Coturnix japonica: one gene and its partners. The protein of the gene in region 1 purifies or fractionates together with the protein of each later gene. This does not show direct contact. Links are inferred from orthologs where the notes say so. Each region holds a gene or a part of one and is shown in the gene's direction. Other genes may lie near its edges.

Evidence for each region. Proteins that work in one complex are often made in the same cells at the same time.
Region 2: the proteins of POP4 (region 1) and RPP25 purify together in Homo sapiens (affinity purification with mass spectrometry; 3 studies listed by BioGRID and IntAct, counting the BioPlex papers as one, with this or other methods). This does not show direct contact. The link is inferred for Coturnix japonica from reciprocal best matches to the Homo sapiens genes POP4 and RPP25.
Region 3: the proteins of POP4 (region 1) and RPP38 purify together in Homo sapiens (affinity purification with mass spectrometry; 4 studies listed by BioGRID and IntAct, counting the BioPlex papers as one, with this or other methods). This does not show direct contact. The link is inferred for Coturnix japonica from reciprocal best matches to the Homo sapiens genes POP4 and RPP38.

What each region holds. Positions count from the first base shown.
Region 1 is NC_029526.1:7,093,264-7,101,114, forward strand, and holds POP4 (ribonuclease P protein subunit p29), read left to right. Parts: upstream 1-2,794; 5' UTR 2,795-2,912; coding exon 2,913-2,919; intron 2,920-3,005; coding exon 3,006-3,058; intron 3,059-3,139; exon of another isoform or gene 3,140-3,160; coding exon 3,161-3,384; intron 3,385-3,831; coding exon 3,832-3,909; intron 3,910-4,111; coding exon 4,112-4,173; intron 4,174-4,457; coding exon 4,458-4,559; intron 4,560-5,023; coding exon 5,024-5,160; 3' UTR 5,161-5,405; downstream 5,406-7,851. UniProt on the Homo sapiens protein: Component of ribonuclease P, a ribonucleoprotein complex that generates mature tRNA molecules by cleaving their 5'-ends.
Region 2 is NC_029525.1:1,714,857-1,722,092, forward strand, and holds RPP25 (ribonuclease P protein subunit p25), read left to right. Parts: upstream 1-2,434; 5' UTR 2,435-2,709; coding exon 2,710-3,321; 3' UTR 3,322-4,266; downstream 4,267-7,236. Other genes in the region: cytochrome c oxidase subunit 5A, mitochondrial, read left to right, coding at 6,982-7,060. UniProt on the Homo sapiens protein: Component of ribonuclease P, a ribonucleoprotein complex that generates mature tRNA molecules by cleaving their 5'-ends. Also a component of the MRP ribonuclease complex, which cleaves pre-rRNA sequences.
Region 3 is NC_029517.1:18,766,768-18,774,630, reverse strand, and holds RPP38 (ribonuclease P protein subunit p38), read left to right. Parts: upstream 1-2,593; 5' UTR 2,594-2,843; coding exon 2,844-2,849; intron 2,850-4,028; coding exon 4,029-4,901; 3' UTR 4,902-5,077; downstream 5,078-7,863. Other genes in the region: ACBD7 (acyl-CoA-binding domain-containing protein 7), read right to left, coding at 1-41, 129-191, 300-417, 2,248-2,259. UniProt on the Homo sapiens protein: Component of ribonuclease P, a ribonucleoprotein complex that generates mature tRNA molecules by cleaving their 5'-ends. Also a component of the MRP ribonuclease complex, which cleaves pre-rRNA sequences.

The sequences.
Region 1 (7,851 bases):
AGCCCAGATCCCCACGCTGCAGCCCGGCTGATGGGGCAGGGGCTGCCCTACCCTGGGAACGCTCTCCCAGTGCCACCAGCAGCACAGCGGGCTCCTGTGCCCTACAGAGAGATGCACTGGATGATGTAATGTATCTTTGGCCAAAACTTACCATTGGGAAAGTGCACAATCAACACAACCACACCGTATCACACAGACCTGCAGAGTTCAACAACCATTTCCTAGGAAAAAAAAGGTATGAAATTCCCCCAAAGCCTTCTTCCACAGATAAATTTACTGTGATGTAAAACAGGCTGGTGTACGTGAAAACTGGAGCCATGTATGCTGCAAGAAGCTGCAAACAGCCACATTTTCTCCAAAGACAAAGCAATTTTTGACTCCTAATACTTGATAGAGCTGGGTTCTGCCCCGTGTAGGAGCGGGTCTGGAGCTCTCAGCAGGCAGCCCTGCAGCAGGACGGCTCGCTCTCGGTGCTGGGCTGCCCTCTGGTGAGGAGCAGAGGAGTGCTGAGAAGCAGGCAGGAGTTAAGCTGGCTGAACACTCACTGCTTCAGCACTGCCAGGGGCTGGGAAATGTATTAACAACTTGGTATTTGGGTAAGGGAAATCAGATCGGAGCGTTTAAAGCGGCAATTATTTTCACCAGTATACCTGTCCCAAGGGACCAAATGTGACTGCTAATACAATTTGGCCAAGAGGAACAAACTGCATTGATCTTAAGAACTCCAGTGCTGGCTGAGATGCTCTTTCTGGTGAATTACAGTATCTGTTTCTTGTATCAGCTGCAATCAGGAAAAGCAGTCCGTGATTACAGCCCAGTCACCTCCTATGCACATCACTTCACTTCTGCTCATCTCCAGCTTCAGTTCACAATTACTCTTGAACAACAAACAAACAAAGCAACACCACAATCATCTCTTCTTACATCATACAAACACCTCTGTTTTCTGCAGGTGGATACTCTGCACCTCACTTGTAGCTCTCTGTGCTTCCCATCACTGAAATTCCCCCAGCACATTGCTGTTACCTGCCTTGGCCTGCACTCGTTTCTCCCATCACCCACTGTAACTCAACGCACCGACAGCCGAAGCAACATGGCCCCCTGCTGTACACATGTATGGTGGTTCATTGTTGGGTGTTCACAAATACATAGATACATAGACTAAAAAAGCAATAAATATAGCCATACACAGACTTAATGGGATAAGAAATACCAATGCTAGCACCTGCAAAGGGGAATAAGTAATATATATTAGGGGTTTATATCACCATAAACTTGTATTGTGCTTGCAAGCTGATTTACTTGAAAAAGTAAAAAGCTTCAAAGGCCTGAGACTAAGACACTTCTGACACTAAGTGAGGTGGAGACATCCAGAAACATGCATTAGAATTATCTGCACTTCTGTTTACATATTTCTGCATTGATTTTATTCCAAATTCCCTTTTTACTCATCTTCCCTCATTTCTCTGAGCCTTCTCTTCCTTTCTGATCCATAAAATATTTCCACGTATTCTTTTTCCTCCTGCTCTTTTTCATGTTTATTTGATTGAGTCCCACTCCCAGCTCAGAGCCCTTTCCCTGGAACACACACTAACAAGCTGACCCAGCTCTATCAGACACTGTCTCTGAAGATAGATTGGGAAATGAAGATGTAGAGCTGTTGGAAGAGACTGGCTTCCCCAGGCACCTGTTTAGCCTGGATCATTGGATTTACTACACTGGCATCACCAACACCGATTTGACTATTAATCCCTTAAGTGCCTTAGGAACTGCAGCATAAATCCAGCCAAGGAGCACTCATACGGCCCTGAAGACCCATAGCGTTCATCCTGGCACTCCATTCATGAAAACTGATCTTTTCTTAAATAGCAATGACAACTCAAGGAGTCCCTGCTTTGTAAAAACAAGGCACCTGTTTGCTGTGGCAACATCCTACACTGCCAAGAGACCTTTCATACACGCTGTATGGGAACTGTTGAGTCCCAGCCTGAATCACTGGGCACCTGAGAAAGGACCTGCTCAGCCCTGAGAGCACAAGTGGAGGCAATTCTCTTTGTGAGTGGAAGGGTGGAGCCTGGCTGCACCTCTTACACCTCATTTAAGGGCTGACTGCCACCAGGGAAGGTTCTCTGGTTGGAGATCCCTCCTTGGTGAAGCCTGTGACCTTAATCTTCAGAGATGGGTGAGCAGACCTTTATCCTTCCTTTTTAACACCATTCTGTTGTATTAGTCCCTTTATTATTACAGCTCTTGTATCACCTTTCCATCACATTGATCTTTCTGGTTGTTACACAAACCAACCAGTGCTTGTGCTTATTAATCTGAAGGGACTGGCCTTTTTTTCTCTACAAATACACATTTATCTGCAGTTTTGTCCCTTGTTACACACTGCTTTAGTACCTCTGTGCTCCACAGCAGCACTCAACACAATGCTCACATTTCCTATGCTCTGTCATGGCAGCTCTGTCAGCCTCCTTCCCCAGGGGGCACTTAGTTACACGTGTGGCTGATACCCACCCCGTGATAGGAATACAAACACCTCTATTTTAATGTGAGCTTGGACTTGCTAAGCTGAGGAACTTGTGGTACTGTTTCCAGAGCACCTCTGTGCCAAGAGGTGTGGGAGTGCAGCAGGGCTGGAAGGGGCGAACCCCTCGGAAGAGCAGGAGATGCTGCGTGCACATGGATGTGTATCCTCGTACTAAACTGCCATGCTCAGGCCCAAAGTTCCTACTGCTGCAGGGGGCTGAGCTCGGGTTCCGTAGCCCCCACCCCGGCACACAGAGCGTTGGGAAGCGCTTGATAGAGCGGCACTGTCCTGCAGCTCCACCTGCCGCACTGGAGGGGAAGGGGGGGATGCAGCCAGGCCCGCCCCGGTCGCACACACGTCACGGCTGCGCCGGAGCATCGAGATGGAGGGTGAGTACAGGGATGGGACGGGACGGGAGGAGGATGAGGATGAGGAGGTAGATGAAGGGCCGGCTGAGCCCGCTGTCTGCCCGCAGGTGTGTTGTACAGCGGGCTGCCCCGCGAGGCGGCGAAGGAGCTATGCCTACAGGTACCGCTCCCATGTACCCCCACAGCCTCTGCCCAGCGCTGCCTCAGCTCGGCGGGCAGCCGGGCTCTAATTTAATTAAAGTCTGTTTTTAAACACCTTTAGCCCCAAGGGTCAGAGGAGGCCAGAGCGTTTGTGAGCGCCTTCCTGAAGCGCAGCATGCCCAAGAAGAAGGACGAAGCCATCCAGGATGTGCTAACGCGGAAGGCCGTGGTTCTGGAGCACCACTGCAGGAGGAGGAAGAAGCCAAAGAGAAGGAAAACAAAAACCTTCACAGCCAAACAGAGGAGGGAGCTGGGGCTGTTTGATATCGAGCCTGAGCAGCAGAGGTATGAGAGTGAGTTTGTGTGCTCTGTGGCACTAAACCACAGCACAGCTATAACCTGGGCTGCCTGTTGGATGAGCTCATCCCTGACCAGTTCTTTCCTAAGTGCTGCCACCTGTGACTTCAATTCTAATCCCCAGAATGGCTGCAACCAGTGAATCTCCATTTTGCATTATGTTCCTTGACCCAGGACATGCTGAGTAAGGCCAGTGCTGCTCCTAAAAGGAAGCAAGGGGGAGAAAGAGGAGCAGAAAGCTCTTAAACACATCCCTCCCCTTGGGTTTGTTCGGAGCATATTCAGCTTTACTTGGAGTGGTTTACTAAGTGATCTGTGCAGCTGATAACATGTGTAATTCTTAGTTTTAACTCTGCTTACTAAGACAATCTACAATATAATATATTATAATATATATAATTAAGTTATTGTAAAATATTTGCCTTCTAACTGCAGATATGAACTATTTCTACCACTACATGAACTCTGGAAGCAATACATCAGAGACCTGTGTTATGGACTTAAACCAGATGCGTAAGTTTAGCTAATCTAACCACCACCATTTTTTAAGGCATTTCAAGTAGTAATTTGATTAAACTTAAATGTCAATTATTTAATAAGGATATATGCTATTTCTGTAAGCTTTGACCAGTATTTCAATAGGCACAGTCACACCTTATAAACATGCTTTTCCATGTATTTTTTTCCCCTCTCTGATCCTACCCTTTTCTTCAAGGCAACCACAGATGGTGCAGAGCAAACTGCTGAAAGCTGACCTCCATGGAGCTGTTGTTACAGGTATTGTTTGCTTTATTCTGCAGTTATCTGAGATTTGCTGTACTTTCTTATGTTTCAGGTGCTCATTGAATTCCTTTCAGTATCAACTCTAGGATAATGTAATTGTGTTGATGGATTCTTTCTCCATTTACCAGTGCTGCTTAACTTTTCAACTGCTCTACCAGTTATCACTATAATTACTTCAGACTATTATCTCAGACTTCTAAAATGATGAGGCAATAATGGAACAGCAAACCAGCTGCACCTGAATTTATTCTAACACATTCCTATTCTTGTTCTTTCAGTCACAAAATCAAAGTGTCCATCTTATGTTGGGATAACGGGAATAATCCTACAGGAATTCAAACATGTCTTCAAGATTATTACTAAAGACAACAAACTAAAAGGTATGGCAAATGTTTTTCAGTGCTTGTTATAATGTGAGTTACTGAGAATCGATCATATTATTATACTTCTGAGTAAATGTATGAGCACATACATACATTGTTCTTTACCACTGCTTGTAATTCTTTGCATAGTGGCAGAAGTTCATGTCTTTATCTGACATGTAAAAACCCAATAATGTACCTTAGAAGTAATTTAAAAACATATTTCCAGTGATTTATAACATGATTATGCACATGGTTCATTCATCTGATTCACTGTAGATCGTTCTCTGCAACTCTTACTGCACACTTGTGAACAAGGACTGAATTCTGTCAGTTTTGCCCTTAAATGTACAGGCTGTATTGAGTGTATTTCTCACACTGCAGCATTAAACCTTGACATGTTATGAACCTGAAGCCTGCATGTGAATAGTATTCCCTGGTACACCAGTATCTATGCATAATGCTACTTCTCCATTTTTCAGTTGTTCCCAAAATTAACAACGTATTCAGTGTGGAGACTGATGGATTCATTTCCTACATCTATGGAAGCAAGTTCCAGCTTCGAGCAAGTGAGCGGTCTGCAAAGAAGTTCAAGCTGAAAGGAACTATTGACCTATGATTTCATAGCAAATCAAAAGGAAGTTTAATTAAGATGTCTGCTGTTCTCCTTCAGTTTACAAAACAGGTTTTCTGGCAGACTGAAAGACAGAGTTAACTAGCTGAGATTTTTCTGAAGTGTTTCTTCATACTGAAGAATGACTGGTTTCATCTTTAAAGCAGTCTGTCAAACTGCTGAAGTCTTAGTTGTATCTTTTACTTGTGTGTAATGTTCTGCCTTTTATTAAACTTGTGATTAGTACTGATTACCTGGTTTTTGTTTCTATTTTGACTGTATATTTGTTCAGTGAATGTTTTATCTTATAACTTGCTTACAGAGCCTGCTTCGTTCAGAAGGCAGCAATAACACCTGTCACTGTGTAAGGAGACTGCAGCTGGTAACTGCTTTTATGTGATTGCTCCTGGATCAATCATTGCTGCCTGTTCAGCTTGTATCCATGCTAGACTGAAAAACCTTATAATGAAAGCATTGGGCAAAAATGTCTTTCATGTTTACTGAGTCAGCAACAGAGGTGATTTATGCTGCAAAAGGTATCATGTCCTGGCAGGTCAATGAGAACTCCTATGAGTATCAAGAATGCTTTCTGGATTGTTTTCCGCTAAACCAGGGAATGTTTTAGTATCTGACTTCCAAGGACTGATAAATACCAAGGTCAGTAACTTTCTTATCTTAGTCTGGAACTATTTATGCTTTTTTTTCCCTAGAACTACCTACCCAAATGGAAAAATACATTGTTTGGGGTAATGGTTAAAATGCAAATGCACAAGAAGTGGAGGTGAAACCTCTAACTGAGCACATGCATTTAAACAAGCAAGACATGTCTTAAACCACAGGTGCTTCAATCAGGACAGTGCCTCACAGGTGAGAAATCATGATTCTTTCTGGGCTTGTAGCTACTTGCAATCACTAGACAAGGACTTGGATTCTGTTCACGAGTACTTTAAAGTTAACAGGCACTTAGTCGAGCTCTGAAGTAGTTACATCAAGGTATCTCCCTTTAAGCATAATTCCTCCCAAAGTTCTTTGAAATCCATTAGATTTCTCTGAGAATCCACAAGGAAATATCAACAAATTGGCAGAAAGCTTAAGTGACAGTAGAAACTTTCTCTGCAGGACAAAGGCTTCATTTTCATTTTGCTTATAGCTATCAGTGTAACATCTAATTAAGACATCTGTTAAATGCCTATAATATTAAATTAATAGAGGGAAGCTAATGGAACTTTATTGGCGTAGTCCTGTTAATTAAAGACCTTTAATAGATGTCTTAACTAGGCATCATTAATGGCAATGACACACAAATTGGAATTAGGCACGATCCCATTTCATTGTGCTGCAGAGGACATACTATATTCTGCCATACAGACACACAGATGAGCACAACAGCATTTTCCATAGCTATTGCTATTTACACTTTTCTACATTTTACTTCAGTGGCAGGAAGATGTGCTGCTTAGCAGCCCCTTTCAGTAAATAACAGTAAGGAAATAATTATTTACAGTGAATAGTGCTGGAGAGGTGTTCAGAGGTCTCTGAGGTACTTAGATGCTAGCAGCACAGATGACAAATGAAGCCTAACAAGAGATTGAACAGCCAAAGCATTCAAACTACCTTTACTGCTGTTGCTAAATCACCTGAAGAGGCATTTTTACCTCATCGAGGTGTTCCAAACATCCAAATGTAGGTTTTTTTTAATAAGAAGTTCCAGTTCCTTACTGTTCCTAATGCAGCATCTCCCACCCCACAGGAGGGCTAATCCCTGGCTCCTGCTATTTGTAATGCTCCCTCACCACACAGTAAGATTTCCATAATTAATTTCTCATTAAATCTGCAGTGATCTTACCTTGGGATGCGAGTATAAGGCTTCAGCGACACATCAGCTCTTCTTTTTAGCACCATCATCCCTGCAACCTTCTCTAGATGAAACCCCAGCAGAGAATGAGGTGCCCAGTGCCCACCAGCACTATGTAACCAGCCTTCTGCACAGCACAGCTGAGGCCAGCATGCAACAATTGCTCTCCTAGGCAACTGGTTCTCTACTGTGACAAACACCTGAGTGTTCCCCTTACCCAGCTGCACTGATTGCCTCTTGGCTCTGAAGGTCAGCACAGGGAGCCTTGGTGAGCAATAGTTGACCTAAGTTAACGGATGTTCAACTTCATGTGTTTTCTTAAACAGAAAGAAAAACTGGATTTACAAATCATTTCATCCCTCAGTGGTGACCAAACTATGGCCTTACGGACCTTGCCAAGAAACAGAATTCCAGATTGTATGGCAACAATGAGCAGTTCCATGGAATTTTACAGAGTTTTGATCCATCTTTCCCCTCTGTTAATTCTGTCATTTCTATTCCGAGCTACATTTCCCTGTGTTTGATGAATATGTATTGCTTTGGTAAGACAGAAACCTCCCTCAGAGTGCTGCTTTAAATTAACAAATGTGAATGCATGGGAGCAGGCACCCCCTGCAGCTGAGCTACACCTGGGCTGCAGAGCCAGCAGCACCCCGTGCTCTGTCTACAGGCCATTCTGACACCTGGGCTGCACAGACAGCCATTTGTTTCCAACCAAGCCACTCACTGTTTATTGTGTTAGGACCTATTCCACTAACTTGACCAACAGAACTGATTTAAAACGTGTAATTTTTCATCTCTGATACCGGCAGATCTGACAACCACCACCTTCTACAGGCAGC
Region 2 (7,236 bases), on another chromosome or scaffold:
GCTCCATCCCCGCAAGGAAATGGCCTCACCGAGAGGCGAAAACCCACGGAAAGCGAAGGGACACCCACGCGGCGCGTTCCCCACTGGGCTCCAGCGGCCTCCCCGTGCCCTCCCGGTGCCCTCCCCGTGCTGCACGACACCCCCCCCCCCGCCCATCAGCCCCTTGGCCGTCACGAGCGGGTCCCCACGCACAGCACCGCTCCCACGCGTCGCGTCGCGGGTGGCGGCGGCCGCCCGGCGCCGCTCTTGCCGCAGCGGCCGCGCTCTCGCGAGACTACGCCGTCACCCGCCCGCCCCGCCAACGGGGCAGCACTCCGGATCTCGCGAGATAAGTTGGAACTGTCCAGGGTCCTGCCGCCGCCGAGCGTGGAGTGAATAGGGACGGGGGCCTATAGGGGGCCGAAGGCAGAGCTCGGGCTGAGAGCTGTAGGTCGTGGGAGACCCCCTATGGGGTACGGGGGCAGCAGGGCAGGAGAGACTCCAAATGAAGGAGTTTGGCATATTCCATATGGTTGGGTGACCTTCTGTAGGGGATGGAGAAATAGTTCATAGCTCTATTTGGGTCAGGGGAAGCTCTGGATGGAGCAGGGTAAGCTCCATATGGATTGAGGCAGACCCTCTATGGGGCAAGAGTTTGTCAGGCTCCACATGGGGCGTATGGATTCGAGACACTACACAGGGCAAGGGAGATCCTCCATGGGCAAGAGTTCAACAGCCACCATATGGGGGAGAACCTCCATAGGGTTTAAGTTGTGTATGCATTAGGATCAACCCTATGCAGGTCATGGATATGGTGAAATCCATATGTAACAAGGAGACCCTCTATGTAGTGTGATATGTATGGAGGGCAATAGCATCAGGGCGGCACCAGAATTAACATATCGCCAAGACTTGGTTGCTGCACCAACACTGAGAAGGGCATATTCTCCTCCTAGTCAGAGTATAACTAGCACAGTAAGGGGGACAGCCCAGCCATGACCCAGAGATTCATACCTGAGCTGAGGATAGTGGTCAAGCCCAACCAAGACCCCAGATCAACTGGCACATCTCTAGTAGATCCACACTCTCAAGGTCAAGCCATGAAGTAAGCCCAGCAGCCAGGACCAGCAATAGCTAAGCAGCTCTCCAGTCAACCCGTAGATTGAGGTCCATATGAGTAGCACCAGAAACAAGCTTAGCTATCCCTAAATGGGAGACCAGCTCACAATAGATCCCAAATTAGAGCTGAAAGCTGTAAATATGAGCTTACACAGGGCTTTGGGACCATACAAAGGTTGTGGGGCTGGGGTCCCTCAATTATTCCTCTTGCTCGTTGTGTTATGGCTTTACAAAGGGGTTTCAGTGGGGAGCCAGATGCATAGTGTCTCGCTTAGGGATGTCACTGTTATAGGTGCTGTCCCACGTGCAATGTGACGAGCACCTGAGACCTGAGCCACCCCGATGTGACGCAGAGATGGACGGAGACTTTCCTCATATCGCATGCTTCAACTTTCCGAACTGCTCCCACATTCAGCAGATGAAAGAAAATATAGCGAGGGCAGGTGGAGGGCAGGGGCTCACGTTACTGCTGCTCCAGCTTTCACCATCTCTCTCTCCTGTTTTAACCGATTCCCTGTACTTTTCATGTAGTGCTTTTATCCCCTCAGCCCTCCTTTTGTCCCTTTCCCATCCTGCTGCTCCTCAGCTTGGAATAACTGCTGTTGTCCTCCAGCAAACACACAGTGACAGGGTAATGAATGGCTTCAGATGGTAATTAGCGATGGAGCTGCTAATAACACGATTCATTTCCATTTTAAGTGCCGCAGAACGCTGCGATAAAATGGACCACGGGTGGCAGGATTTGATCCCACAGCGCAGTTTTCCTCCCTGCTGTGTGAATGGTTGTTGAAATCCTTCCTTGTTATTTTCCTAGGGGCTTTAGCATCTTTCAGAAGCAGTGTTTTGCCACAGAGGCTTTAATCTGTTTCAGCCACGCCATTGGCTCTGCCTCAGTTTCTCCTCTTGGGGTTGTCCCAACAGTGGTACCCACTCTTGCTGCATTGGGGCAGCGGGGATGGGGCTGGCCGATCCATTCATTTATTTATGGATTTTGCAAGCCCTATTCGGGGTGAAAATAATCCCAGGTCCTCCAGAGGCCGATAAGATTTGGCAGCAAGGCAATACTCGGCATCTCTTTCCACTGTGCAATGATCCGGAGGCTGGGGCGGGGGGAGCAGGGGACAACTGCTGCTGTTTGCGGGCGGCTTGGTGTCCTTGAGAGAAGGGACGAGGTTCTCTTTAAGGGGGCAGGACTTGGGGAGCATCACAAAGCCAGGAGAGAGCTTCTCCCTCTGCCCACCCAGGGATGGAAGCAGCAGCAGGGTGCTGGGATGGGAGGCTGAGCGAGGGGAGGAGGAGGAGGAGAAGGAGGGGAGGGAGGGGAGGGAGAGGGGGAGGATCTGCTAATTACACAGAACAGCTCTGGGGGCTGCTGAAGTCCAGAATGAAGCAAAGAGCGGCAGAAGCAAGCGCTGCAGAGGGAACAGAGGAGCCTGAGCACTGCCGAGAGCTGCAGCCAGCAGCGAACGGGGGCACCCAGGGGATCCTACAGCTCTGGCCTCCCCTGGGGACAGCCAGCACCAGGACGAGGAGAGGGGAAGGGGCTGGGGGTCCTGGGGACGTGACGTTGGAGCTGGAGGAAGGCAGCGGGGGCTAAGTGTGGGGTGAGGGATGGCGGCCAAGCCCATTGCCCAGTGTAGGATGGAGAACTTCCGAAAGGTCAGGACGTCAGAGGAGGACAGCCCCTTGCCCTTCCCTGACTTACCCCCAGGTGTGGTGGAGATGAAAGTGAAGGAGGGCAGCAAGATCAGGAACCTGATGAGCTTCGCCATGGCTCAGATGGAGCTGAAGGGCAGCAGGCAGATTGTCTTCAGCGGCTGCGGCAGAGCGGTCACCAAGACCATCACCTGCGTGGAGATCATGAAGAGAAAGCTGGGGGGTCTGCACCAGGTCACCAAGGTACGCTACAAAACCTTGCTGGAGGTCTGGGAGAACCAGGACCCGCTGCCTGGCACTGCAGCACAGAATCTGACCGTCCATAAGAACGTCCCTTCCATCTGCATCCTGCTCTCCCGTGACCCCCTGGACCCCAACCAGACGGGCTACCAACCCCCTGAGCCCAGAGAGGCAGGAGAAGACCCCACGAGCTCCTCGGCCAAGGGGCTGAAGCGGCCCCCACCGCCTGCCCGTGAGGAACTGCTGCCCAAGAAGCTGCAGGTAGCGGGAGCCAGCAGCCCGCAGGGCTCGGGGACAACAGACAGCCAGATGGACGGCCACTACTGACCCTATGACATGCTCACAGCAGGGTCTGGGGGGGCTACTGACCCCACGCAGAACACATCCTTGTATCCCACTGGCTCCCCATTTTATGAAGGGCGGCTGCAGTGTGTAGGTCTGTGGGAAAACCTCCCCTCTCCAAACTTTTCCTCCCTTTTGCCTGGTGCTGCGAGCACTTGTAGGGATGCGGAGCTACTCGTGCCTCCTGTCAGCCCTGCTAAATAGCCCCCTGCACAGCAGACCTCCAGGACTCCCATAGAGCTGAAGCATCCTTTGGATTCTCCCCAGATTGGGAAATGCAGCTGCATGCCTCCGCTCTGCATCGGGATGTCTCAGCCAGCTGCAAAGAGCCCATCAGAGTAACACCTTCATTGCAATTAACCCCCGAGAGGAGCTGTCAGGTTTATTAATGCTGGGCTCCGTGCCTCGTGGCTCCTGTGATTCATCCTGAATAGCACAAACAAGCAGATGGGTCCTGCTCCCTCTCACCCAGCTCCCTGCTTTGTCTCTGCTCCTTCCTCTCCTCTGTGGCATCGTTGCTATTTTGTGCTTTGCTCTGAAATACCCCAAGCTGATCCTTCCTCTCTCAGAACTGCTGCAGCCTGAGAGCCAAAGAAACAAGCCCTGGAGCACTGCTGTTCATTTCAATAGCAGCCCCTCCAGTGAACAGGAATGGAAATAACCCCTCTTCCCACATCATATATTCAAGTTTTTCCTCTCCCGGAGGTGTTTGCAGCCATGGTGAAAGCATGATGACGAAGACAACAGGGAGCATCAGGTGGATCATCTACAAGCTGATGGACAGATGCTGGGATGAAGAGGAACTTTGTAGGTTTGGCTGCGGATTATTCGCTATGGGCTGGCTCCCCAGAATAGCCCTTTGGAGTGAAACACCCGCTTTTTCTATGGGTAAAAGGAAACCAATGGAAAATAAAAGCTCTTTAGAAATAATTGAAGTATGTCTATGGGGAAATGGGGGGGGTGAGGGTGGGGGTCGTCTTTGCCACTGACCATGGCACAGATGGGTACAGTGAGGGCGAGACTGTGGCTGCTGCTGAGGCAGAACAAGGGGATCCTGGCCAAATCCTGCCTCTTGGGGATGAGGAATCAGGGCCAGCTTCTTTGCATGCCCTGGCAGTCATCTGGCCCCAGCTGACATGGCAAAGCCCCCCATGGAGCTCCATCTGCCCCACGTCAGCCCCTTGCCATCACGTGGGGACCAAAGCAATGCAGAGATGGGTTGTGGGAGGCCAACTGAACCCAAATCCACCTGGGTCCCCTGCCCAAGCAGGACAGATTCAGTTGGCTCCAGACAACGCAGCCTTGGGATGGAGTCAGCGGACATCACTGCTTTGCCAAAGGCTGGCTTGGAAAGTGCTTTGTTTGGCTGGGAGAGGGAATGGAAGGAGACCAGGGGAGCGAGAAAGAAGAGGAAGGGGGAGTAAAGGGGGGTGGGTTGTTTGGCAATGACCTTGTTATCTGTCTCAGCAGGCAGCTGCTCCTCTGGGCCGGAGGCTTGTGCTTATCTGCCCTGCCACAGATTGATTCATTTCACTTATCTACCACCATGTAATTGAACATTAATTTCCATTTGTTTTCTTATTTTTGTGGGGCTTTCATTCCCAGAAAGGAGGGGTTGGCATAAGAATTGGAGGGGACCGAACAGACCCCAGAATCAAATCCATGCACAGCTCAGCGGCGCTGGCCAGGTGCTGTGCATGCGATGCAGTCTGAGGCCAACAAGCCATTGCAGAACAGGCTGTAGCGTGCCCTCAGCCCCACAAGTAGATCAGCAGAAGCCCTCAGAGCAGCATCTTGCACCAGTTTCCATCTTGAACGAGGTTAATGAAGAACTGTGCATAACGAGATGGGGAAATCCGGGTTATGACACTCTACCTCAGTGATCGCAGATAGGGATTTCTGATCTCCTAACCAGCAGGACCCCAAAGCCTCAGCCTTGGTAAAAGCCAGGGGTTTTTGGTCTCCTAACCAGCACCAGCAGGACTTTGGGGGCAGAACTCAATAAGCAACTCAATCTAAGCATGAAGACTTTAGAGAACTAACAGTCCTTCAGCCAGCTCACGTTGCCCCCAGCAAGGAGAAAGGCAAGGAGAAAAAGAGAGAGGGAAAAAAAAGCCACTTATTTCACCATATTATTTTGTTAATGTCCAAAAATGACTGTTAATTGATTCAGTACACAGGCAATTTGGAGGCAACAGGAGGCTGGGGATTACAAATGCTTCGCATTGCTGGCTGCGTACCAAGGATTTCCTGCATGAAGAAATAGTTAAAACAGAATAAAAACGGACTGCAACTCCGAATATGAAGCATTTATAAATAGCAGGATGGCATCTGGCTCCACAGGGTCCTAAGGGGGTATTGTGAGTGAAAACAGAGCGGCTGATTGTCTGCTGTGGAGGCACAGCCCAAAGCGCCTACGAATTGTAATCTGGGGGTCATTTTGTGAGCTATAGGGATAGTGGCACAGCCTCACAGTGGCCTCAGCTGTGGGCAGCACACTGGTGTGTGTTTAGGGATGGGGATGCAATGGGTCTCACCAACACAAGCATCCACCTCGGGCTCACTGATGCTCTGAAGACAGCCTGGCAGCAGGGATTCCCTTTGGGAAAGCCAGGCTGCATTCAGCCGTGGAAAGCCTTTAATGCCAAGCAGCTGCAGGCCCTGATAGCCACCAAAGCATGGAGGGCCCTGAGGGCTCTGCCTCCCTCTGAGAAGCCAAGCTGCTGCTGTGCTAACCCAGCTGCTGGGCTGCTAACAGCGAGCAGTCTATTGCCAGGAAGGGCTCCATCCCCTCACAGCATGGCTGCCTATGGGCAGCTGATCCCTGGGGGATCTCGATTTAAAGCCTCTGGGGGCTCTAAAACACAACATGGGCATTCATATATCCATAATAGGATGGATGAACAACCGGCTGAAGGGCTGAGTTCAAAAGGTGGTAGGAAATGGGGTTACAGCAGACTGGGGGGGCAGCCTCGGAGGTGTTCAGGACCAGGTTGGACGGGGCCCTGGGCAACCAGATCTAGTAAAGGCGTATGTTTGGTGGCCCTGCCAGGCAGGGGGTTGGAACTACATGATCCTTGAGGTCCCTTCCAACCCAGGTCATTCTGTGATTCAGTGTGAGGTTCCCTGTGGCTCCATTTTGAGGCCAGTTCTGTGTTACTACAAACAATTTACAACCAAATTAGGACTCCAAGCTCTGGCTGCCAGCAAGCAGCATGTACCAGATGTATAGACATACCTTGTGCTGCAGCAGGCCCAGCCGTGCCAGGTGAATGAGGACAGGTACCATCCCACTGCCGGGCCCACCACCAGCATTGGGTACAACATGGATGCCACAGCATCAGACATCATAACAACCAGCACTCAGAGGAAGGCGATGATGGTGTGTACAGACAGGAAGATGTGAGGGGAGGCCTCATAGCTGGAACACCACACACCACCAACCCTACCACAAAATGGCGGCCGGCACCCACTGCCTTCCCGCCCATCCGCCGTCACGTGATAACGCGCTCCCGTTCCTCTCACAACTTTGTCCCCTCGGCGCCACCGTAGCCGTCCCCGCTCCCCTCCCCTTCCTCCCGCATCCCGCGGCCTCAGAGCGCGGCCGCCGCCCGGTGCCGTCCTCCCTCCGTCCCTCCCGCCGCCATGTTGCCCGCCGCCTCCCTCCTCCTCCGTCGCTGTGCCGCCGCCGTCGGCCTCCGCAATGGCTTCCGGGGTCCCGCAGGTGAGCGGGGCCGGCCGGGCCGCGGTGTCCTTGCCGTGACCCGGCGGCTGGGCCTAGTGCTCGGCGTCAGCTTTCTTCCCTTTTCTATGTGCTTTTATGTGGCCCTTTGGGAGCCGAGCCCTCCGTGGCCTATTAAACCTGAAGCACATAAGGCTTTTCAATGGGAAAAGTCACAT
Region 3 (7,863 bases), on another chromosome or scaffold:
TTTAGAAATATAGGCAGTCATGGCATCCTCCTTCGACATACCTGCAAAGAAAAGGAGGAGTCATTATCTTTTCTTATTTGACATCCTATTGAAGTTATTACATGAGGCAAATTTAATTGCTGTAACACCTCTTTTCAGGTTCCACGCCTCCCATTTGGCTTTGCCTTTCACATCTAACATTCCTGGACATTCTGCAAAAATAAATGCATACCATCATTAATTATCATGCAGATTTATAAAACATTTTCTTGTTTTCAAGATATGGGGCAAACTGGATGTATATATGGGAACAGAAATACCAATATTAATATCTCCAACAGTAGCTTGTTTGTAGAATCCATAGAGTTCCTTCAGTTCTTCATCAGTTGGTCTTGTCTTCAGTTTTTTTACATCTTCTGCAGCCCCATCAAAGTCAGCCTAATGCAAGAAGAATATGTAAAGTATGAATTTGCCTCTGAAGGGGCGTGCTTCAAACATTTATTATAGCAAGCACAGCAGGTCACTAGATGGCTTCTATTACTTGTATATTCAGTGGTAAGCCTAGGATTTTCCCACGAACAAGATTTAATAAAACCTTTAATAAACTGATGTCAGCTCAGGCATTCAAGGCCTAAGATTTTAGTTAGCCCTGCATAGGTCAGGCAGGGGGACTTGTTGGTCTTGTAGGTCCCTTCCAAGTGAACCACTCCATTCTAAAACAAGTATTTCATTCTTAATCCCAACACCAGTAGATGCAACATACCTGACCCTGCAAATCAGCGACTTACACCACCAGCACCTCTTTGCATTACCCATACATGTACAAACAGCAGCACTCATGCTCGGTCACCAGCACGAGGAAGAGCTGGCATCAATATCAACACACAATCGAGGTGCCACAACTGACTGAAGACTGCATAAGTTTTATCTTCATCTTTACACTGTGGCCATTGCTGTGCGTAAGGCCCTGACCAGGTGGAGTAGAAGGACTGTTCAAGTGATGGAAACCTCCCATGTGCAGAGCTGTTTTCCAAACTAACGTCATAAAAAAGAATGAGCTGGAAGCATTAGGCTTGTACAGACAAGTGATAAATAAAACCAAACCAAATACAAAACCCAACTCACAGTAAGGATGCCGTTATTAGCTTCTTATTTTTCTATCCTTTTATTCTATTTATGAGAAATAGCACAAACCGCTGTTTCAAAAACATGCAATGCACACCTTGGGCAGCAATAAGTGCACGGAAATGGAATTTCCACCTCAAACATTCTTTTCTTCATCTCCCTCAATCCAACCCTTGTGCGCGGATTTTGCTTAGGATTTGCTTGCTTACACAACACGCTTAGGAGCAGCTGCAGAATATAATATCCTTTAATCACGAGCTGATGGAATTTCCCTCTCACTCCTCAAATCAAAAGCAGAAGCGTGTCTACAGTTGACATATACATATGCAGACGTAGATTTACACACGTGCATTAAAGCTAAATGCAGAAATCACAGAATCACAGAATGACCCGGGTTGGAAGGGACCTCAAGGATCATGTAGTTCCAACCCCCCTGCCTGGCAGGGCCACCAAACATACACCTTTACTAGATCAGGTTGCCCAGGGCCCTGTCCAACCTGGTCTTGAACACCTCCAAGGACGGGGCATCCACAACCTCCCAGTCACCAGACTTTATTTTCTAGCAGGAATTCGAGGCAGAACACAGCAAAATTAAACAAAAGCTGCTGTTCCGCTCGGGACTTGGCAGCCCCGGCCCATGGAGGGCGCGGGGTCAGCAGAACAACGAACCCTCTGTGCTGCGGCTCCAAGCGCTGAGCTGCGGCCAACGCGCCCCGCGACGGGGCCTCGCATACACGGAGCGAGGCGAGGCAGCATGGAAACGAAGGCAACAGAAAGGGCTGGAGGGTCTTAAAGCCAAAGGGAGAACGGAAAACCCCTTAAACAGCCGAACCAGTCCTGGGCATTTAAAGGTGGCGCAGAGGCGGAGCGCTGGAAGGCAGCGACGAAGGTGATTTCTCCAGGAGCCGCCGATACGGACAGAGGGAGGCAGCGTCCTTCCTGCCAAACCTCACTCAAAACGCAGCGCCCCAAAGACACGCACGCTCTACAAACTCCCTTAGAAACGCACGTTTCCCACAGACGCCCGTAGCGCAGCTCCCATCGATAACCCACCCGAGCAGCGGGTGCCGACACACCGCGCGGACACACCGTAACGCGCCGCTCCGCACCCCGAGCCGCAGTGCCACCGCCCGCCCCGCTCACCTGCAGGGCCATGGCCGGGCGGACACGCGCGGTCCGGTGTCGCTCCCGCAGCGCGATGCAGAGCGGGCAGCCGCCTCCCCTCGGGTCCCGCTGCCGTCACGGGGCGCTGAGCCGCTCGGGGCCGGGTTGGACGGGCCGTGGGCCAGCTGTGCTGGTGGGGGGCGGCCCTGCCCCTGGGGGTGGGGGGGCTCTGACGCCTCCTCCAACCCAAAGCATCCCGCAGCCCCGAGCCATCCGCATCACCGCCTCGCAGAGATGCGCTACAGCACCGTGACAGGATCCGAAGGGGCAGCAGCTCCCTCGCACCGCGGCTGCCCCCGCCCGGCGGCCCCGCAGCACGGCGGCGGATGGGGCGGAGCGGGACGGGGCGGGTTCGAGCTGCCGGCGTGGATCGGGCGGTACTGGCGGTGCCGGAGCGCTGGGCCCGGTGGTAGCGCGGCGTGGAGGCCGCGCTGAGCCGAGCGGCAGCTCCATCTCCATCTCCGTCCGTCCGGCCTGTTGTCAGGGCGCTGTGGTGGCTCCTGCCTTTAACTGCGTTGTCCTGGTCGGGAGCCGGCGGGGCCTTCCACGAGGCGTTTGGAAACCGGAGTGTTGGAATGGAGGTAAATGTTGGAATTGTTCGCGTTTCTCAGCTCCTCTGCTGGCAGCGGCGGGTCCTGCGGCTGATCGGCCTGGAAGAAGTTGGGTTTTGCTTGTTGTGCCCCGTCAGTTTGATTCCTGTGCCTACACGATTGTTTTCCTCAGTAGCCTCCATCTTGAAAAGACAGACGCGGGCTGCTTCAGCGTGTGCTCTCACATACACAACATACACAACAAAGGTGTTCTTTTAAAACCAAGGTAGTCTGTTATCAGCATGCAGGGAATTGATGTGATATAAATGGTGCCTTATAAATATCTAAAGGTTGCCACTGAAGTAATGTTTGTAATATTTCTACTTATGGAAGGAGGGGATCTAAGGAGAGCCGTGTCTGTTCCTCCTGAGTTGGCACACAAGTTCTCATCACGTTCTGTTGGCTGTGCAATGTAAAGCAGGAGATGCTGAACAGTAACCCAGGTTTGAGTATGGGGACTTAGTGAGTGGGCAGGGCTGGTAATCAGAGCATGCCTTCACTTGGACTGGATAGAGCAGAACTGGAACAGTGACCCTTTCTTTGCACCACTTTGATTTTTTCATAACCCTAAAGGCACGGCCTAGTTGATGCAGGAGTCAAAGAACCCTTCTGAATGTTCCATGGCCTGCAGAGGATTGCTTTCCTCCACAGAAATGTGCTCTGCAGCCTTCTGTCATACCTTCTAAATGCAGATAAATGTAAGACATAGATAAGTGAGAAAAAACACATGAAAATTAAAAAAACCCACAACTTTATCCCAAATGAATTCAGGAACTTGGAGATTGTTTCATGCTGCGATTCTGCAGCTTTATCACATCAGGATAGTTCTAAAATGGAGCTGTGCAGCAATGAAAACTTGTCTTTCACAACCTGAGCTTTATTATTAACATTATCTGTGGGACTTCCTGCTACTTCCATTCAGTTTCAGCTTCAGAAAGGTTTCCCATCACTGGCATTGCCTTGCTGGAAAAAAGCAAGCAACCTGTGCCCTGCTGGAGGATTATTAAGCACTGATATATATATAGCACTGAGCTGCTATAAAGGTGATTCCTGCCAGTATTGCTTTGAGCTGCTTTTTTCCCCCATTCCCAAGAGGAGCCTCTTGTAACAAAGTCCACAGCAGACAGTGCAGGATTTGAACGACTCTCTGCCTTTTTCTTCCCTCCACAGCTAGGTGGCGAAACAGAACAGAACCTGAGGACGCCTGTCATTCCACAAGGGACGGCGTCGCTTCGTAAAGCAAAGAAAACCACTGTAAAAACGTGTCTAGATAACCCCTTTGTTTTCGAATGGAAAGCCATAGATGGAGATGGTATGCATTTCATATTGCAGACCTTAGAAGAAAAGATTAAACGTATCGGACTTAAAAAGATAGAGACTCCAAGAAAGAAAAAACGTTCTACAAAAAACCAAGTGGAAAGCAAGTGTGATGGTAGCAACAGCGAACTCCCTGCTGAAAAAGAAACTGAAGGCCATCGACAAGCACTGGGATGGACTGACGTGGGCATCAGGAGGCAGCTTGCTATTGGAATTAATGAAGTTACAAAAGCGTTGGAGAAAAACGAGCTGCTTCTCTTGTTGGTGTGCAAATCTGCCAAACCTGCCATGATCACATCCCATCTCATCCAGCTGAGCGCGAGTCGAGCCACGCCAGCAGGCCAGGTTCCCCGCCTCAGTGAAACGGTAGCACCGCTTCTTGGCTTAACATCCATTTTAGCGCTCGGCTTCAAAAGGCAGTCTGATAAGTTCACTGACGTAGTAGAAGCGATAATTCCAAAGATACCTGCTTTGGAAGTGCCGTGGTTTCAGTTCCAAACAGAAGGATCTGCTGCATGTGCGGAGTTGTCAGAAATTGATGAAGCTGAGCAGCTTGCAGAGACGCCGGAGGAGGAGCTCTCAAGCCAGAAGCGGAAGCGTTCAGAAAGCAATCAGCTCCATCTCTCACATGTAATTTTGCAGCCTTTGAAAATCAAGAAAGTTGTTCCAAATCCAAATAAGATAAAGAAGCCACCTCGCAGAAAGAAAAAAGCTTTTTCAGCATGACTGATTTTAGTTCAGTTCTTCAGAGCACTGTGATTGTTTTTTACTGCCTATGGAGTACAGCTGTAACTGAACTACTTTGTTCTGCTTTAGCAGTGTAAAGCAGTTAACTCAGGTTAACTCATGTATGATGCATCCAGGTGAGGTTCTGTCTGCTTTAATAAAGAATGTGGCTCCAAGTTGTGTGTGAGCCTCTATCTGGAGATAAATATTTCATTTGCAGTTGGAGATCACAAAGTTGAGACTGTTAATGAACGTCTTGAAGTAATGTGAGGATAACAAGCGCATCTTTAGAATTAATACTAAGTGCTAAGCAAACTTTGTATGTTTTTTTTACATGTGAACATGCTTTAGACAGAACTGATTGAAATTAATGTCATTACACATAAAAAAAAAATAATACCAAAACTGAAAGTTTATTTAAACAAGGTCCATGCCAGTATAACTTTTAAAGCTGGTTCAATGCTTGTTTCAAGTAAACAGCTGTAACAGCACAGGCAGACTTTCCTTTCTGAGCTCTTGTCCTTTTCTCTGCTGAACAATAAGCTTGTTTTGGTCAAGAATGTACGCAGGCTTGGACTCCAACTCTACCTGCTGCCTGATACGCTGAAGGAAAAGTGTTATTTTCATACATGGAACAAAATACTGCTGCATTTTGGAAAAACAAACCCCTATATGCAAACACATGTATCCCATGAGAAAACATGAACTAATCTACGCTCGGTTTCTAAATGGAGTCTAAAATTATCATCCAGGAAGTTCAGAGATGCCGAGTACCGCTGAATGTAAAGTAGCAGGTGACAGCTATAGTCACTACAACAGTCTAAAAGTCTTTATAGAGTTTCCTTTAATTTTACTGATGACTGTGAACAGTTTCTTAATGAAACTGTTTTGTAGGCAGGAAATAAATAGCGCTGCAATTCAAACTGCAATCAAAACGGATAGCGCAGGAGTTGATTTGGCACTCTGCAGCTAATAGTCAGCACTGCAGTACTGGAAAAGAGCTGAGTTACTTTGCTGTTCCTCAGGGATGGAATTTACACCCTGTAGGTTTCAGGGCTCTGCTAACGTAGTCTTCGCTGCTATCAGCCAGTTTGGATTTATTGAGAAGTGACTTAAATTCATGGTTGTGACTATGAAGGGAGGCAGTAGCGATGATTCTGTAGTCACGATGCTCCCTGTAAACAAAGCAGACATTCGATGCCAAAATGTTGCCCTTCCTTGCTGAGGGTGGCAAGGAGATTGTTTTATTGTGCCTTGCTTCATAGTCCTTCCCAGAGGTCATTTACTTTGGCTTTTTAGATGCATAAAATAGCGAAGGCGTGCTAGAACCTAGCATAATTAATTCCCATGCTGGCTAATTGTAACATCTAGCTCTTAGTCTTTACAGAAAGCATGAGGATTAGGCTTTGGTAAAGAACATAAGCACAGCAATTGCTTATCAAGCACCCTGCTGCCTGTCCAGGTCTACAGCTCTCCCAAAGGATTTGGGTCCTTTCCACAGATGCAAAGTTACTTAACAAACTGCAGATGTTTCTAAAGACTTGTGGGAAACGGAGTAGAGCCTTTCCAATGCCTTCAAATTTGCCAATTTTGGTGAAACCATCCGTTAGTTTTTTGCAGTTTTACCTGGTAGCCATTCTTATCAAGCCTAATGCACGTGAAGGTTCAACACCCGAAACAGCACTAGAGCCTCTGTCAGAGCTGACAGCAGCACCCACACCAATGCCCTGCTTAGGAAGTGAAGGTGGGCTGCCATAATTTCCACCAGGACACCTTTGAGACTCACATTCTCTTGAAGCTATGGTACTTGAGCAAAGCACTGGAGGTAAGGAGCATGGCTGGCTGTAAGGGCTGAGCACTTGACAGGGACAGACCTTTTTGCACTGAACAGCTATTAAGCGATGTTTTTGTGAAGGGGCTTCTCTAGGAATTGCCCCAGCTTAGGCTCAGCTGCCCCTTTTCTTTATCCTCTCAGCCTGCAGCTTTTTAGTCATAGCTACAACAACTGCAGAGCTTCAGCAGGAGCACAGCTCTGCCTCCTTTCGTGTGCAGCTGGAGCCAGAAGACAAATTTGCACCCCTCAGATTCATTGCTTTTTGGAGAAGATGGCAAAAGAGAGGAGTGGCCACAGCACCCTCCATTGCTGGCAGGCAGCCTGAGGTCAGGGCAGAAAGCCAGGCTGCCAGAAAACCAGGTTCAGTTCTGTGACCTAGACATACTTGGTCCCACCATGGCCTAACAGCTCTTTCAAACAATAGGGTTGTGGGGAATTGCCTCTTGATTTCAGGGAAAAGAGGAGTAAAGAAAAGTCATCATCTACCATTTCTTGCACTTATAAAATGAATGCATCATCCTGCCTGCATGCCATCCACCCATAGAGCAGCAGCCCACCAGGCTGCAGCAGTTCCTTGCCAGGGCACAGGGCCACAGCTGCCAGGCTGAATGGGGTGAGGAGAGGGGTGAGGCCCTGCCCTTAGAATGAAGCAGGAACACCACACGTTCTGGGAGTAAAGAACTTAAGTCCTTGATGAAGTTGGGATCGTATCCTTTCCATTGCTTCAGGTATTTACACCATCAATTACATTTTCAGGCACTTAATTCTGCTCAGGCTGCACACAGGGAGTCAAAACTCCACCTACACAATCTCCTGTGACTGCTATTAGCAGACAGGTATGAGAAGGGCCAAAGCTGCAAAGCCTGACTCCACTGCTAGAAGCCCCAAAAATCCCCTTCAGAGCCCTTGCATTCACCAGGCTGGGGCTGATGAGCACACGCAGACCAGACCAACCACCATCAATCCCTTCCTTTGCGTGACGGAAGCCAAATGCTGTAAGCGCAGAGCTGTAACACAGAAAGGGAAACTATCCCTACTTCCAGGGCAGAATCTTCTCACTGATCAACAATAAAAAGAATCCAAACCACAAACCATTCACACAGGGGAAATGGAGGGGACAGTGAAACC